Linked DNA regions of Cricetulus griseus. The protein of the gene in region 3 purifies or fractionates together with the protein of the main gene of each other region. This does not show direct contact. Links are inferred from orthologs where the notes say so. Each region holds a gene or a part of one and is shown on either strand. Other genes may lie near its edges.

Region 1 (3,518 bases), on a different chromosome or scaffold from region 3:
CTTTAAATTGGAAAGGGGAAGCCCTACTATAGGGCCAAAACCACCCGTGAGAGCTCAAAGGCACTGTCCACATCTTACCACACCCAGGAGAAGGAATGGCAGCAGGGACCTCAGTCTACCCAACCCAGATTTAAGTTAAGTTGGGAGCAGTGGACCCTGTGCCAACACAGTATTTACCTAGCTTAGTATGTGCCCTCAAATACTATTGTGCCATTTCACATATATAGTCAGTGAATATAACAAGAGAATGGCACACCGGTCATGTCACCCACATAGGTGGCTGTTTTTGAGGAGGTTCCAAGAACTTGTGGATACCTGAAACCGTGGTAGATGAGAACCCTAAAAAAATAAGTTTTTTGTCCATGTCCACGATTAAGTCTAACTTGTAAGTAAGACTGGTAAGCTTTTTAACAATGTTGAATCAGGCAAATGAACTATAATGAAAACTGTGAGATCATTGAACATCCTCGGACCACGGCTTGCACGAGTCCCTGAACCTGCAGGTGAGGGAACTGTACTCTTAGCTTTCTCCTGGCAGTGTGGCCCCAGCAGAGGGGCAGCTGGGCACTTACCGAGGACTCGCTGTCCCTAATGAGAAAGTCGCCCTCGACGCCCCGCTCATTGAGCGCGCACTCGGCCTGGTGCCGTGTCACGTTGCCATAGTACCACTCACGACCAGCGAATCGCCCGCTGGCTGAGGGCCCGGTGTAGCTGATCTGTGGGGTGTGCGCGGGGTGCATTGCAGGCCCATCACTGAGGACCACCACATAGTTCTTGGGGACCAGGCCCACCTGGCCCCGGGCATTTTTGCATTTCCACCACTCAGGGTCGTTCTCAGGCTTCTCAATCACCTCCATGGTCTCCCCCTTCTCAAAGCTAAGCTCCTCCTCAGTGACGGAGCTGAAGGGGTACAGCGTCTGCACCACGTGCAGAACCCGTGCTCCTTGCCCATTGCTCAGAGCGGCACCGCGACGAAGGCTCAGGAAGCTGGGGGCCTCAGCGGCAGCTTCATCTGCCTCCTCCAGCACGTAGTTGGAGGGGAACCAGCCGATCTGCCCATTGAAGCTGCCGCGCCACCAGCCATCGCTGCATTTTTCCATGACTGTGACACGGGAGCCCTTCACCAGGGAAAGCTCATCCTCTCGTTCAGCTACGTAGGCGAACTTGACGAAGGCGGGGATGTTGAGGTCATAGATGCGGTCAGCACCGCTGCCATTGGCCGGGTACTCCGCATCAGTGCTGGGCGTTGGGGATGCATCCCGAGCGCTCGGCTTCCTGCGCGTCTTTCCGAGGCCTGTGAAGACATGGCAGAGGGCTCAGTTGGCACTGGGCACATGCCTACTCCCTACGCTATTAGGCATGGAAGTTCTCCCGCCCAGGGTGGGTGCATAAAGACTGGTTACAAACGACAGTTACCAGCTGGAAAAGAAAATGATAACAGCTGTGCCGCAGAGATACGAAGTTACTAAAAACTGATACTTACCCATAAACAAATGCCAATAAGTCTATGATACAAAGTTAACAAGAACAGAAAAGTTCTTCTGGAAGGATGGCCAGTTTTGGAGAACCCTTGGGGCTCAGGACTGAAAATATAAAAAAAGGCAGAGAAGGTGCCTGCAATTTTGCATGGGTAAGAAGTTGGACTAAATGACTGTAAAGACCGTGGCAATGCTACAGGGGGTCAGGTGACCACCAGAAGGGCTGTACCCTGCCCTGCATCCACTTACCTCCCTCCTGAAGTTTGTAACCCTGCTCCAGGGCTCCTCCTCATTGTTCCCCTGATGAACTGCCCTCCTAGTACCTGCCTGCCTGCATGCTGGCCCTTCTCATTTCCTTCCCCACTTCCAACGCATCTTTGCTCACAGAACACTGAACTGGTTTTTCTACAACAGACTGACAGAGCGAATTAGTAAAAGATTCGCTGACATACTATGTCCAAGGCAGGACTTTGAAGTTCGTGGTGGGTAACCTGCAAGTGGACCCCTCAGGTCAACTGAATGGGCTTCAAAAAGCCGACGGATGGAGGAACGTCTTCAGAGAGCATCATGGTTAGCCTGTACACACTTTCTTCAGCCACACGTGAGCAAACACTGGCCTGTGATGTAAAACATACTCCTTTCCATACACCGAGGGGGGGTGGGGGGGCGGGGGAGGGGAGGTGATTTTGGGAAGCCCTAACCTAAGCATGCTTTTGATCCAGTTAAAATGTAGAACCCAAAAAAATTCTAGGGGAGGACAGCATGTTGGCTAAGAGCAGGGGATGCACCGCAGGGGGGGGCAAAATTTCTCAGTTTTTCAGGGAACACTCTCCCTTCAGCTCTGCTTGGAGCATTTTGTGGAGCCCGTGGCAGACTCCCCTCTTCCCCAGTGACCTCCAGGGGTAGTTAAGCCCTCTCATCTTTAACCTGCAGAATAAGCAGGCTTTGCCCAGCATGCAGGTCCAAACGCAAGGGCTGTGCTACATCATCCCCCATCATTCAGCGGGGCCACCAGGCCCAGCTCAAAGCCAGGAGAATTTGAGGCAATGCAAACTGGTCAAAGTGGATACACTGGCCCAGAAAGGTGACAGCATGGATCACATCATCTGATTCAAGTACATGGGGACATAAGGGCAAGTCAGAACACTTAGGTCAAAATTTAGATCTCTGTTCTACTTAAGAGTCATCTTGGCTTGCAATCCCAGATTCAGTGCAATCCTCAGTCTTCTCTGTGTGTGTCATAGCTCTTGTGCAAACAAGTCACACTGGGTTAGGGCCTTTTTTCCTTTCTTTCTTTCTTTCTTTCTTTCTTTCTTTCTTCCTTTCTTTTTTTTCCTTCCTTCCTTCCTTTTCTTTCTTTCTTTCTTTTTGTTTTGTTTTTGGAGGCAGGGTCTCTCTGCGGCTTTGGAAGCTGTCCTGGAACTCTCTTTGAAGACCAGGCTGGCCTCGAACTCACAGAGATCCGCCTACTTCTGCCTCCCGAGTGCACCACCTGGCAGACCTAACTATTCTTAATACTCTTGTTTTAATTGCTATTTTAAAGGCTCCATCTCCAGATAATCCCACTTTTGAGGTGGGGTGTGTGTGTGTGTCAAGATTTCAACATACGGATTTGGGAGGGTTTATTCTGCCTAGGGCATCTAAGTTCAGACAAAGCATATGAAACACAGAAGTTTTACAGAATCAAGGTGTTCTTAACTGATTAAGGGTTTTGGATCTCTCTGATCAGAACAGTAGTTTGTCACAAGAGGTCAAATTCCTCTTCAAAGATTCTTGGCCACAATCCCAGTGATGCCAGAAGGCCAGAGGTGTAGAAAGCCTTATGGGACTTGGGCCTCCAACACCAGGTACTCTCATGGCAGCTGCTGGGACAGAGCAATCCAAGAGGCAGCTGTATAAACTGTGTGGTGGTGGGTGTTTTAATATCCTGGCCATGGATGTTATTCCAACCCTCACAATTCTCCCCAAGCAAGTGGGGAATCCAAAACTGGGAGAGATGGGGGAACTGGACAGACATTCCTAGACAGTGATGTGGCATAG
Region 2 (3,518 bases), about 37 Mb from region 3:
CCACAAGCAAAAATGGCCAGGACAAGAGTTGAGACAAGATGCATTTGCCTATGGGAGCAAATGTTCTGACTCCAGGTCTCATGAGGGGAGGGGCTCTGTGAGGGGTGCCTCAGCCTGAGGAGGACTCAGGATTGACTGTGAACTCTGGTGTTCTTGAGAGCACCTGGAAACGCAGTACTGGCCCATATTCCTTAGTTTTCCGCAGACAGTATCCTCTGTGGCAGGTCCTTGCCTCTAACATTTCTCTTGTGAGAAGCCTCCAACAGAGGCCTGTTGTCTGGGGAGGGGGGGGGGTGGAGGGGGAGGGTCATGGGAACCCGCTCTGGATTGGAATCGGCTCCACAGAGCCTGCCAGGAAGGGTGGTACAGTTCTTGAAGCAGCAGGCAGAAAAGCTTGTCAAAGACGATGCCTGAGCTCAAGCTAGCAGACCCCTTTCTGAAAGGCACTCCTAGGCGTCCAGCAGTGACGTTTTGGGTTGAATAGACAGGTAAGTGCTGGCCCTTCCCATGCACACAATGTAGGCAACCTGACCTGGTGAACCTGACTGTGTCGGTCTGCTCCCAAGAACACACTGGGGGATGGGGACTGACAGTGACCTTATAGCAGGTCAGTGCTGCCTTCCAAGGTTGGCTCAGAGGCTACTTCTGGTGGCCATTAAAGCCAGCCCTGAGGCTATGGTTTAAAGGCCCAGCAGAGGCTGTGAGAGACAGCCTAGAGGCCACAGCTCATTTCTGCTTGTTCAGTAGGCATGTCTAAATTGACATGCATAAAATAACCCAAATTTCTGCTATCTTGAAAATCAAAGCTTTAGCAACTCAGGTCTATTTCTCCACAGCAACATGAGAGGCGTCAGAGGGAAAAGAGCTGCTGTCCTTGCAGGTTGGGCAGGGCTCCCCACCTGCCCTCCCTCTGTGCCCGGCTGTACACCTGGCTGGCTTCCTAGCCATATACTGCCAGCTCTCTCAGGTAAGCTCCACCCATATAAAACAGATGTGGCAAGCTGGGATAGGGATAGGCTGTAACATTCACAAGAAAGAGCCTTAAGTAATGTAAACACCAGGGCTGCTGTGTCCTAGACGTCAACCTCTGCCCTTGCAGAGCTACGGGAGAGAGGAGCTAAAGCATGCTGACAACTATTCTACAGTGCCACAGGGTGTCTAATCTCTCAGTACCAGTGAGGTGAAGGGAAGAAACTGACCATGATGGCTTACCTGGGAAGAAATCCTTCCAAAGGAGGAGACATGTGAAGCTGTAAGAGGTCAAAGGGTGAAGGGCACCAAGTGTCCACCCACGGAAGGAATGTCAGTACCAGTTCTGAGTGAACTGCCTGGCTTCAGGGGAAGGCAGGTCCCTGACAATGGGTGGTACTCCTGCTGTGAATGTGGCCAACTGGAACCTGATATGGATGGTGGATTCATAACTACTATTTGGACATTATGGAGACTTCAGTATTATGGTAAAATCTTTATAGATAGAAAATCAAGATAAAAATATTAAATAACACGACACTTAACATGATACAAAAGTTAGAAATGGGTCATTCCCCTGTCCTTCCCAAGAGATTCGCTCTCTTTAGGAAGAGGCAAGGACCCTTGCTCTCCACACATGCCTAGAGATACCCCAAGCTCTGAGACTCTACGGCAGGATGGAAAACCTACTTATTGCACAATGCTTGGAAGGAACAGATAACATTGATTTTTTTTTAAAACCCAACTCTCTTAAGAAAATGTTTTACTAAAAATATCAATTATAGTTTTAGCCATGGGCAGAGAGTTTTAAAGGATGGAAAAGTTTTAGCAAACTCCAAACAATTCCTTTTAAACACATCCGATCATGACCTAAGCGCTTGGTGACAACGCAACAGAACAGAAGCTAAGTTGCAAACAGGCACAAATAAGGCAATGGTTAAATCACAGTCAAAAATCTGTTAGAAAACATGCAAAAATAATACTGAGTTTTCTTTTAAAAAGTTTCAAATCATTATTAAATGTTTTTGTAAAAATCTGAAGAGTTCATGTCTAAACTGAAGCCGGACTTTCAGAAGCCTATAAAATAGAAGGATAGCGCCCCACAGTTCAGTTGTTGTTCTCTTTGGTGGTGATTGTGACCAGCTGTTTGGCAGCCTTGGCGATGTCATAGGCACACTGGATGACCTGCTGTGTGACCAACTGCACATCCGTGGGCAAGCTTGAGTCTCCTGGGAGGGCCTTTCTGCACTCTGACTGGAGCCGGTAGGCACTGGACGTCAGTAACCGGAGGGAAGTCCTCACCGTGTCAGACTTGGGTTTCTAAAATGAAGAGTACAGCTGTTTGCTGTGGGCTGCAGGATGGACATCCAGCAGCAAGGCATAAGCCTGCCCCGACAGCAACTGCAGTTGAGTAAAGTCCAACCTTTCTCAATTGGGTATTTTTTTGTTTTGTTTTGTTTTTTGTTGTTGTTGTTGTTTTTTTTTTTCCGAGACAGGATTTCTCTGTATTGCTTTGGAGCCTCGCCTGGAACTTGCTCTGTAGACCAGGCTGGGCTTAAACTCACAGAGATCCTTCTGCCTCTGCCTCCCAAGTGTTGGAATTAAAGGTGTGTGCCACCATCGCCCGGCTCAATAGGGTATTTAAAACAATACCAGCTTTATGAACCATGGCCTAAGAGTGAGGAAATGCTTACATTTGAGAAGAACTTTAATATTATGTGCTATTTTGAGGTATTAAAAATATAATCTTGGGGCTGGAGAGATGGCTCAGAGGTTAAGGACACTGGCTGCTCTTCCAGAGGTTCCGAGTTCAATTCCCAGCAACCACATGGTGGTTCACAACCATCTGTAATGAGATCTGGTGCCCTCTTCTGGCCTTCAGGGATACATGCAGAGAGACCACTGTATACATAACAAATAAATCATATATATATATTTTGTATCCTAAACTTTATTCTACTGCTTTGCCTTGTAGCACCTGACTTACACATCCAGGTCTTACTAAAACCGATATCCATGCATAGTGAAAACACCTCAAAGCCCTATAAGATGATGTATTTAATAACTGTATGCTACAAAAAACTTAAGAAAAAGGTTATGAGCTGCTGCACAGCTGTACAGGAGAGTGTTTGCCTAGTATGCACAGGGCCCTGGGTTTTATCCCAGCACCCTGCTCCTCACCAAAGACAATATAAGGTCAGGAAACAATGCTGAGAAACTTAACAGAGGATGAGTAGGAAGTGACTTACTTTGGGGAATAAGGCTGCCATCTCGGTAACAGCAACATGTATTCTCTCTGAGCAGGGAATATAACTGTAAGACATAGAAGAATCCATTAAAGCAGCTCAGATGATTTAGAGGTAAAGAATGCTCAGAGGCCAGATGGGTTCCATTTCCACCTGGTTAATGAAGGGCTTAGGTTGGGGCTAGCTGTGTGCACACCAAAAGCAGGCATGAGCACACCGACAGCAGGCACAGCTATGAAGCAGGTCCCCCTCCTTTCAGGAACACACTCATCCTGGTAACAGTCCCCAGTCCTGAAATCTGCT
Region 3 (3,518 bases):
GAACCATCTTGCCAGCCCATAAGGAACTTATTTTTTTTTTTGGGGGGGGGGGTTCGAAACAGGGTTTCTCTGTGTAGCTTTGGAGCCTATCCTGGCACTCGCTCTGGGGACCAGGCTGCCCTTGAACTCACAGAGATCCTCCTGCCTCTGCCTCCCAAGTGATGGGATTAAAGGCGTGCGCCACCAACGCCCGGCCTATAAGGAACATTTTTATAGGTTTGTATTGAGAAGTTATATTCAAGCCCCTGTGATAGAGTTTCAAACAATGTCCTTTAGATGTGGCTGGCAGGGACCAAGGGTTTTTGCACACACTCAGCAAGTGTTTCTCACTGGGCAACAACTATCTCCAGCTCTGTTCCAAATGTTTTTAAGAAAATAAAGTATAGACTGCATACTTAATTTCTCCATAATCTCTTCATCTGTCATCTTGGCTTTCTTTTTCTGTTTGTCTGAAGACTTGGCACCACCGTCAACATTAGAATCACCAGCTGGAGCAGGAATAGGGTCGATGACAGACCGTGTGTAAATCTGAAAAGATATAGCTCATTGTTGAGACTTGAGAAAAAACCATTTTCAGATAGTCTTAGTAGCAGAAAATGTATTCTTTGATTTTTTTAAAAAACCAAACTAAGTTATCTTTCCCACTGTTTTGAAGAATGGGACAGTATACTCACACAAGAAACACAGGCATAGTGGTGCCTGTTTGTAAGTCTAGCACTCAGGAGGCAAGTAAGAGGACACCCCAGGCTACAATAAGACCCTGTTACAAATACTCCACCTCCCCAAAACATGTAACCAGGAAAATAATGTATAATGTATTTTTTTTGACACAGCATGTATGTATTTTGAAAATATCTAGCAAAATAGGTCTATGAAACTCCTTCCAGTGTGACTACATCTAAAGTACTGAGAACAATGTAATGAAAAGAAGCACATGCTACTTCTCCAAAGGTCCCACATGGCTGCTCATAACCATCTGAAACTCAGGTCCAAGGATCTGATGTCCTTTTCTGACCTCCATAGGCAACAAGTACAATGTGCTGCACAAATATACACCTAGGCAAAACATCCACACACATAAAGTAAAAATAAATTAAAAAAAAAAAAAAGCATACCTGCAGCCAGGCACAGGGCACACACTTATACTTGGGTGCCTGAGAAGCAGATGCAGGAGGATCAGGAATTCCAGGCCAGCCTCAGCTACATAGCGAGACTGAAGCCAGCCTAGACCACACGAGACCCTGGCTCACAACAAAAACAAAATGAACCCACAACAAAAACAAAATGAACCCAACACAGCTTAGAAACAGAAAAGAGTAATAATGCTGATGTTGAGATAACTATAACCACCTCCCTCTGTAAGATTTACATAAATTCAACAGTGATCATATTCTTTCAAACAGCCAGTCCTAAGTCATAAAGAAAACACAGTCTTCCACCACTGCATCAGTTTCAGTTCTGTTGCTGAGTGGAGCAAGAACCCTGGGGCAGCCTTCCATTCCATCACAGCGGGAAGGGCAGTACTGGAGCCCGTTCTTACTGCCTGGCTCTACTTAAGGCCCTTACTCTTAAAATTCTCTTAATGGTAAGTAATTTCATTCTTAAACACCTCTTGAATAAACATAGCCTTTGAAAGCAAGGTAAAATACATAATTCAGAAAACAGCAATGATCTAGTTTTAGATATAATAGTTATCTATATTGAGAAAGCTAAAAAAATAGATCCTCTTTAGAGTAAGAGAGAAACAAGGAAGAAAAACCCAGTAAATTAAGTTTCTTAACTTTTAAAGAAGCTGTAATTTTCTTTTTTGTCTGCTTTTACAGATAGGGTCTAGGTCTTCGTACGTAGCTCTAGTTGGTCTGGGACTCACTAAATTGTGGCCTCTTAACTCAAAAGAGAGATACACCTACTATGCTCGATTAAAGATGGACACCACCATGCTTACTCAAGACCTTACTTTTCAGGCCAGGCAGTAGTGTTGCACACCTTTAATCCAAGTACTCAGGAGGCAGAGGCAGGCGACCTCTGAGTTCAAGACCAGCCTGGTCTACAGAGCAAGTGCCAGGACAGCCTCCAAAAGTCACAGAGAAACCCTGTCTCGAAAAACAAAAACAAACAAACAAACAAAAAAAGAAACATTTAGGGGTTGAGAGATGGCTCAGAGGTTAAGAGCACTGACTGCTCTTCCAAAGGTCCTGAGTTCAATTCCCAGCAACCATGTAGTGGCTCACAACTATCTATAATGAGATCTGGTGCCCTCTTTTGGTCTGCAGGCAACGTGTAGGCAGAACACACTGTTTACACAATAAATAAATAAATCTTTTTTTTTTTTTTTTTTTTTTGAGACAGGGTTTCTCTGTGGCTTTGGAGTCTGTCCTGGAACTAGCCCTTGTAGACCAGGCTGGTCTTGAACTCACAGAGATCCACCTGCCTCTGCCTCCCTAGTGCTGGGATTAAAGGCGTGCGCCAACCCCCGGCTAAATAAATAAATCTTAAAAAAAAAAAAAAAGACTTTACTTTTCTAAGTCATTATTATTCATTTTAATTTACTTATTGTGTGCATGTGTGTGCACACCCACCATACTGTGCATGAGATAGTCAGAGGATAAGTTGGAGGAGTTAGGTCTCTTCCTCTACCATGTGGGTCTGGGGGATTGAATGCAAGCTGTCAGGCTTGGTGGAAAGCACCTGCTCAGCCATTTCATCAGCACCAAAAAGTAGGCTTTGATAAACAACCAAGTTTCTGCATACTGCAGTATTTTAAGTTCGAGGGCCTTTAAACATTTCACTCACTGATTTTGTATGGTCTGGCCGAGGGGCAATGACAGGAGGAGCAGCATCTTCATCATCATCGTCTTCCTCTGTCACTACTGCTGACGTTTCTGATCCCTTAGTATTCAGCTGCACTCATCATGGGAGCAAAAAAGGAGGACAAGCCAGAAAAATTAAAAGGTTAAAATGTAAATTTATTTCTTCAACAGCTCATTTAAAAACAACTGAACTCCACTGGTTCTGATATAACCAATTAAAAAGTAAATGAATATGTACGGCAAGTATCATTTTTAGTGGGGAGGAGGTTCTGCTAAGGACTGAACCCAGGCCTGTGTATGGTGTAATAGCTTTACTACTGAGCTACATCCATAGCTCCTAGGTAAGCAATCCATTTCACTGGACCAAAGCAAAGGCCCTCTGGACGATGTAAAAAAACCTCATTTTGAGGCATTTAAAAGATCTAGGTACAACAGTTAATAAAGCAAGAAAAGGAGCTGACATGTGTGAACTATTTAGAATGTGCCTCAGTTTACCATACCCAGAAAGGTACTGGAAGGAGGTTTGGGGAAAAGAGAATATGCAAACCAGTTCACCATATTCACGTTCAATATGGCAACACTGGAGAAGTAGCTAAATTGCTCTGGAAGTTATTATTAAGTTTATTGCTTTAAAGTGCCCATAAAATTCTATTTACTTAACGTGACTTTTTCAATTAATCAAGTAGGTAACTTAAGAAAAAAACAGCA
Region 4 (3,518 bases), on a different chromosome or scaffold from region 3:
TTGGTGAGGGAAATGGGAAATCTTACTTCAATATTGATACCTATTATGTTGTTATTAAATATAATGTTAAACAAGGAGGACCCTAAGAGAGACATGCATGGTCCCCTGAAGAAGGGGAAAGGGTCAAGATCTCCTAAGCAAATTGGGAGCACGGGAAGGGGGAGAGGGAGCTAGGAGAATCAGAAGGGGAGAAGAGGAGGGATGCAGAGGACATGAGGGAGCAGAAAGGTTAAGTCAGGGGAAGAATAGATGATAACAAGAATGGAGATACCATAATAGAGGGGGACATTTTAGGTTTACAGAGAAATCAGGCACTAGGGAAATGTCTGGAGATCTACAAAGATGACACCAGCTAAAAATCTAAGCAACAGAGGAGAAGCTACCTTAAATGCCCTCCCCAGATAATGAGATTGATGACTGACTTATATGCCACCTGATAGCCCTCATCAAGCAGCTGGTGGAAGTAGAAGCCGACACCCACAACTAATCACTGAACTGAACTGGAATCCAGATGCAGAGAAGGACATACCATCTCTTCTGGTCTGTTTACACACACACACACACACACACACACACACACACACACACACACACACTTACTTCTGCCTTATTATCCCTTTGGGGCCATATGTTCATTCCACTCATCCGTGGCAGCATCCATTTTCCTCTAATACTGTTTTTGTTCTTTATTTTCAATTATTTCTTTTATTTTTGAGATTATAATATAATTACATCATTTCCTCCTTCCTTCCTCCCTCCAAACTTTCCCATATACCCCTTCTAGCTCTCTTTCACTCATGGCCTCTTTTTTCATTAATGTTGTTCCATACATATATGCATATGCTGATATTGTTTTTAAATGTATTCCTTTGATAGGACACTCATCCGGATCATCAAGACATTCTGAAAGCAATCGTATCATTCAAAGCACTCATGGTAGGTGACACTTTCAGATTGTCATTCTCCATTTTGTATACTTTGTTCCTGAAAGAATGATTTGTGTGTAACATTTCTTTCCTTAAGCAAAGGTCTTCAGGATGGAAATAATGCACTCTCAGGACAGTAGCTCTGTGATTCTTACATTTGCTTTTGTTCTCCACAAATCATGCTTGCCTATGAAAGGTCACCAGACTGCGGGTATAAAGCAATCACATTTGAAAGTCTTGGCCACATTAAGCATTGGTGTGTAGGTGGGGGTTTCCTTTTTTTTTCTTTTTCTTTACCCCCATTGCTCACCCTATGTCATTCACTGATTGGCATCAATACTGGATTTCACTATTTATGCCAAAAGATATGAATTTGTTCTTTGCATATGAAATGGGAATCCTTCCTAACAGGAAAAACATAATGTACTAAAATGAAACTGCTTAATATAGATTGCTACCAGAGGTAGCTATAATCTTGCATCTTGAGTATCAACGTTAGCCTGTCTCCTTGAACCTGCTGATGTAAAACCTTTTGATGCCATTTCAGAAGGAAAAAATACCCTTTATTTTGAGCAATGAGTTAAATTTAGATATGTTTGACATTTCTAAAGCATTCTGTGGGATTTGAACCAATGTTTAGCTTTTGATCCTTGCTAGAAGGTTACTCCATAGCATTCAGCATCACTCCACTTTTTTTGCTTTTGAAAGATAAGTAACTGATGTGTCAGTGCTTAAAGGGAAACTAAAGATCGGGCAAGGCATTGTGATAAATTTGCACCTGTTGTCAGGCAAAAGTAGTAAAAATACCTGCAATTTTACATGGCTCAACTTCGTAGAACAGCTCACTCAAACCCATGGATGGGATAGCATTTATTGGAACTTGTACCTCTTTTATTCATTCTTATGTAAATTAGCATAGAAGGCCTTTGGAAAAGCAGCACAAGCAAACAGCACAACAAATTCAAGAGTTTGTCAGGCATGGTAGGGCATGTTTGGACACCACCACTTGGGAGACAGAGAGTCAGTTCAAAATCAGAGCCTTAGTTACATAGTGAATTTGAGGCCTGCCTGGGCCATGTAAGAGCCTGTCTGAACAAACCAAGACTAAAATACACCCCTCCAACAATGGAAAGCAAATGTGTCTTTTTTTTTGTCATGTTGTAAAACTTGCTTTGATGGTGGTAATATATTTACTATAAATACATATGCTTTAAAATCTGCATAATGTATTTATTTCTTAAAGTCTTGGTTAGATGATGCAACAGATTTTTATAGAAAAGAAATTATTCACAAAAAGTATTATACCTTCATGTGGACAAAGTAATGCAATGGACCATTTGCTTAGACATGTATTCATTTTGGAATGAGTACTGTTAAATTACTCTAAGATAACTTTACTCTTCTGAGACAGGTTTTATATCTATGTATTTCATACCCCACATAGTACTCGAAGACTGTTTCTTGATTTGAATTTCCAATGGGATCATCATGGAATCCACTTGTATCCGTGTTTCCCCAATCCCTTTGGGAATAAAAATAATCTTAGTATTTTAAAAGGTACTGTTGCTCCCTAAACAAAGTCAGGACAGTGCCATTCTCTGTTTTCAAAACTCTAACAGTAATTTTTGTTTGTTTTTCTTACCATCAAGTTGCAGTTTTGTTGGAGAGTGAGCATACATCTTACATATGAAATTAGTTTTAATTACAGTCCTATTTACCCATGGCAGTGAAGGGCTGATCACTGTCCTGGCTCTACTTGATGGGATTCTGTTCCTTGTCTGTACAGACTCTTCATGGGGAGGGAGCAATAAGCCCCTTCTTAGCACGTCATCTTCATTCCTTGGCAAAATGGAAGCTATCTCCTCTTCTTATAATGTTGGGAGGATCAAAGCTAGGTAGTGGATGTGTTTGTCTGGCAGGAGCATGGATGGCCATAGAATTCAGGGTAAGGGATAAAGAGATCCAGTGAGCAGCAAGGAGTCTAAAGCCGTAACTTATTTGGAACTCGTTTTGGGTCTGAGAACTTTCCCCACCGGTCTCACCTGAATCCTTATTGTACCATGTTCTGTTTCACATCTGTAGGGGCAGTGCCAAGAACTGCGAAAGAGAAAACAACTGGAATTGCAGATCCTTTCAGAACCTATTCAGGCATGGGAAGGAGATGATATTAAGACCCTGGGAAATGTGATCTTTATGTCACAAGTAATGGTGCAGTATGGAACCTGTGATGTAAGTCCTCAGCATTTCTTCTTTCGTCTTTCCCTTCCTTTATTTGTACTTCTGTCAAGGTCAACTGGGGTAGGGGCAGAGGGAATAGAAAATAAAGGGTAACTTTGAGACACATTTAAACGGTAATATCAACAGAAAGGGGTGGCTTATGGGATACAGAAGATGGCTGATATAATCTACACCCACTAACTTTCAAAAGACCCTGGGTGTCTGCATGTAGATGTTCTGTAAGCAGCTGTTAATGTACTATGGAAATGTAGGTGAGAGGTCGGCATTAAAGACAGAGATGTAGATGTCTCTGACAAATGTACTTTTCTAGGAAGTACATATCCAGAGAGAAGCACAGAGGTTCAAGATGGATTA
Region 5 (3,518 bases), on a different chromosome or scaffold from region 3:
CGATGGGTGCTTCCAGCGGGCCCCATGGGTACGTGTTCTGCCCGTTCATTGGGAAGTGGGGGTGTAGGTGTTGGCCCTGACGGCTGCCGAAGCTGCAGGTTCTCTGCCTGCAGTTTGTGGATCTGAGTGTACACAGTGGTATCCAACTCTGGGTCAGGGTAGGTACCACCTTTGGGAAGAGATGACCTCTCCTCCCAGAGCCTCTGATGCTTTCCTCCTGCTCCCGCAAGCAACAGTGCTCACCTCCCTCTGCAGCCTCCGGAGCTCATCACTCAGGCTGCTGTTGACCTGCATGAGCTGCTCCACTCTGGCCTCGGAGGTGGCCAGAGCTTTCTTCAGCTCCAGGTACTCCTGCAGTGTCACAGCCCCATCCGACAGGTCTGAGGAGTCCATGCTCTGCAGAGACAGAAGCCAGTCAGTCTCGGGCAGAGGCTGACTCTGGGCTATGTGTAACAGGGAGCTGGGTCTACAGCAGGGACAGTGTTCAGACCCTAGCACGGTTGTTCCGAGTGGCGCCTGTGCTGGGCAAGGGCTCCTGGTCTGTGTCTTCGTCAGAAGCCACACTATCGTAGTCGTGTTGGTCGTCCAGGTCACTTTGGCTCTGTGCAGACAGCTCGAGGTTGTCTGAAGACACAAGATCTGTCACTCAGGGCTTGCTCAGCCATTGTTTATCCAGATCCCAAGCAAAGGTGGCTCCAAGGCCTGCAGCAGTGCTGCGGCCTGCTCATGTGGGGCTCACCTGTGGGGCTGCTCAGGCTCTTGCCCTGCTGCCTCCGTTTGGCCTCACTGAGAATGTCGATGATCAAGGTGGCGAACTCGCGGGCATTAAACCGAGCCAACTTCTGTCGTCCCTGTAAGGCAGAAGGGGCAAGGCCAGCATGAGGGGCCATTTCTGGTTGGCCCATGGGGGCTGGACCACAGCAGCAAAGTGGGACCCTGACATCCTTTCTATTCATAGCTTTTAAAAAAACCAAAACCCCAAACCCAGCCATCATCTGGCTGGTGAGCAGTGTGGAGCCTCAGGTCAGCAAAGGCCTAAGGCACACAGGGAGCCCCCAGGAGGAGACTGGAATGCCCACCAGTGCTAAAGAATAGCTTCATCCCATTCCCCGAACCCCAAAGCCTGTCAGACCCTAAGGGGAGGCCTCAGATTAAGGAAGGGCAGGGATCCCAGAAAGAAAGGAAACCACCCAGGCCTCCTGCCTATACCCCCTCACCTGGTTCCGAGTAGCTGAGTATTCTGGGTTGACTGGCAGGAAGGGCACAGCGCTGCGCTCCGTCACCAGGGTGCTGTGGTTTTGGGTGGCCAGCCACACTGTGGGGGAGGGGCAGGGAGCAGATCACCCACTGTGACTAGGCCTTCCATGCAGAGGTAGGAGAAGCACAGAGCAGAGAGCCCCCGGCCCCAAAGGCCCACCCTATTCCCACTGGGCCAGTGTTTCAGGAAGCAGGGGTCTCCACGAATATAAAAGCTGGGCAAGGCCCAGTGAGGCCCGCCCACTGACGAACAGAACAAGGCAGGGCCCACTAGACCAGACCCAGAGTTTGGGCTGGAGTCTGGTTGTGGCCAGGAAGGAGTGATGCAGGGTGGGGTGGGGGGTGGGGTGGAGCAGGGCTGGGGAGACAGCCAAAGTGGGAGGCAGCCAGAGCAAGATGAGCTCCAGTGCCTGGTGGGGCAGGGAGGCAGCTAGCTGCCTACAGCTCAGCGCTGCTCAGCAGAGGATGGCAGGGGCTCACCCAGCAGGCCTCAGAGCAGCCCCAGTCCAGCTCCCCTTCTCAGTTCACTGAGGGACAGACTCCTTGCCACTCACCAGCGTCATTCTCTCGCCGGTCCACCTCGTCATATACATCCATGGCAAGTTCCTCAAAAAGCCGGTTGCTGAGCTAGAGGCAGAGAGGGAGTGGGGGGGAGGGGGACCCAGAGTCTGTCAGGATGTTGTGTGACGGGAGGAAGGCTCATGACCCGTGTCACCCAGCCTGTCTTAGAACTGAGGGGAGGGTGAGGTTTTCTGCAAGGAAGAAGGGAGTCCAGGCCATTTTTCCCTCCAGGAGATGGACACACTTGGTGGGCAGAACCAGGATCAAAGGGAGGGAGGGAGGAGGCTGACGGGGCTAGGGAGAGCAGCTTTAAGGAGTCTTAGCTTGTTGAGGCAGACTCACTGCTTGCAGCTTCTTCTTGGCAGCTTTGGCCAATTCAGACAGATCCAGGCTGTGGACAAAGAAGGAGAGGCCAGACATGAGAGACTGCCAGGTCCCTGCTGGTTGCCTCCCAAGCATGCAGGGAGCTCAGGGAGATGAGACCCTGAGGCCACACACCAAGCCTCCCCTTGCCCAAGCTTTACAGCCTGCAGCAGGCAGGTGCAAGTACCTCTGAGACATGCACTTTTGCCGAGATCTAATCCAGGATGGCAGCAGAGGGAAGAACAGGACAGAGCAGCAATTACCCAGGAGCGGACGCGCTCAGACACATCTCCACACACCCCACACAGAGCATGCAGGGGAACTTGTCTCCTCAGCTGGCTCCTCTGTCCAGTCAGCTATATGGAGCCACCCCAGGTCTCCCTCTACCTCAGATCCTAGCCATGCTTACCAATTCTGCCCTTGTTTCTCTGGTCTGGGCTTTTAGGAATCTCTCAGTCTATCTCTTTACTTCTAGGCTTGCCTCTAGATCCTTTCTCATCTGGTGGCAGAGTGCTAACACACCTGGCTAGTACTCTGCCTTAAAGCAGCCCAATAGTAACATACAAAGAACATACCCCGACCATACTTCTTCACAATTCTTTCTTTAAAAAAAATATGCTAACATTCCCCAAAGGGTAAGTATTAGCACACCCATTTTGAGATGTGATAACCAAGGCTCAGAGAGGTTAGGTAACCTGCTTCAAGTCACACAGCCTGGTAGTAGCAGAGATCCTGTTCAGAACTCCCTCACGATGGTTACACTCTTGCTGAAGTTCCCCACAAGGTTCAGTCCCACCTGGCTCTTTCCAGTCTTACTCCCTCACACTATGCTGTGGGACACAAGCCTTTGCACTCTTTGCTGCTGTCCCCTCAGACTGCTACATTGTAGCTCAAGGGCATTACCTCCATGTCCCAAGAGCAGCTGCTGGTTCTGAGAAGGTGCTAAATGAATAACCCTGAATCTACATTCATGTGTGCATGTGGTGCTTATAGATACAAGCGTGTGCTCCAACACACATGCACGCACACACCTCTCTTTCTTCTTCTCCCCCCCCCCCCCCCCCCCGCCTCAGATCAGACTAGAGAAGTAGAGTTGAGTCTTGGGGTCTTAGAACAGGGCAGTTCTGACCAGCCCACCTGTCTGCACAGGCTGTGGTGGAAAACCTCTCCTAATGCCAGGGAGCACTGCCTGGCATGAAGGTGTAGCCCTCTGAGGACCACTAGGTGGCGCCACCATCTGTCTTGTAAACTGAGTAAGTGGCTGGGGATAGCCTCCACTGCCTGGGTTATCTTGGGGCCTCTGAGATCAGAGGCAGAAATTCCCCATTACTACCCTG

Evidence for each region.
Region 1: the proteins of Pak2 (region 3) and Nck2 purify together in Homo sapiens (affinity purification with mass spectrometry; 3 studies listed by BioGRID and IntAct, counting the BioPlex papers as one, with this or other methods). This does not show direct contact. The link is inferred for Cricetulus griseus from reciprocal best matches to the Homo sapiens genes PAK2 and NCK2.
Region 2: the proteins of Pak2 (region 3) and Git2 purify together in Homo sapiens (affinity purification with mass spectrometry; 3 studies listed by BioGRID and IntAct, with this or other methods). This does not show direct contact. The link is inferred for Cricetulus griseus from reciprocal best matches to the Homo sapiens genes PAK2 and GIT2.
Region 4: the proteins of Pak2 (region 3) and Arhgef6 purify together in Homo sapiens (affinity purification with mass spectrometry; 3 studies listed by BioGRID and IntAct, counting the BioPlex papers as one, with this or other methods). This does not show direct contact. The link is inferred for Cricetulus griseus from reciprocal best matches to the Homo sapiens genes PAK2 and ARHGEF6.
Region 5: the proteins of Pak2 (region 3) and Git1 purify together in Homo sapiens (affinity purification with mass spectrometry; 5 studies listed by BioGRID and IntAct, with this or other methods). This does not show direct contact. The link is inferred for Cricetulus griseus from reciprocal best matches to the Homo sapiens genes PAK2 and GIT1.

The regions. Positions count from the first base shown.
Region 1 is NW_023276807.1:4,964,577-4,968,094, forward strand, and holds part of Nck2 (cytoplasmic protein NCK2), read right to left. Parts: intron 1,295-3,518; coding exon 573-1,294; intron 1-572. UniProt on the Homo sapiens protein: Adapter protein which associates with tyrosine-phosphorylated growth factor receptors or their cellular substrates. Maintains low levels of EIF2S1 phosphorylation by promoting its dephosphorylation by PP1.
Region 2 is NC_048597.1:94,338,598-94,342,115, forward strand, and holds part of Git2 (ARF GTPase-activating protein GIT2), read right to left. Parts: intron 3,283-3,518; coding exon 3,219-3,282; intron 2,290-3,218; coding exon 2,077-2,289; 3' UTR 1-2,076. UniProt on the Homo sapiens protein: GTPase-activating protein for ADP ribosylation factor family members, including ARF1.
Region 3 is NC_048597.1:57,460,619-57,464,136, reverse strand, and holds part of Pak2 (serine/threonine-protein kinase PAK 2), read right to left. Parts: intron 2,902-3,518; coding exon 2,794-2,901; intron 529-2,793; coding exon 396-528; intron 1-395. UniProt on the Homo sapiens protein: Serine/threonine protein kinase that plays a role in a variety of different signaling pathways including cytoskeleton regulation, cell motility, cell cycle progression, apoptosis or proliferation.
Region 4 is NC_048604.1:15,174,717-15,178,234, forward strand, and holds part of Arhgef6 (rho guanine nucleotide exchange factor 6), read left to right. Parts: intron 1-876; coding exon 877-936; intron 937-3,008; coding exon 3,009-3,155; intron 3,156-3,518. UniProt on the Homo sapiens protein: Acts as a RAC1 guanine nucleotide exchange factor (GEF).
Region 5 is NC_048600.1:90,905,055-90,908,572, reverse strand, and holds part of Git1 (ARF GTPase-activating protein GIT1), read right to left. Parts: intron 2,210-3,518; coding exon 2,161-2,209; intron 1,885-2,160; coding exon 1,812-1,884; intron 1,316-1,811; coding exon 1,218-1,315; intron 852-1,217; coding exon 740-851; intron 625-739; coding exon 491-624; intron 397-490; coding exon 244-396; intron 123-243; coding exon 1-122. UniProt on the Homo sapiens protein: GTPase-activating protein for ADP ribosylation factor family members, including ARF1.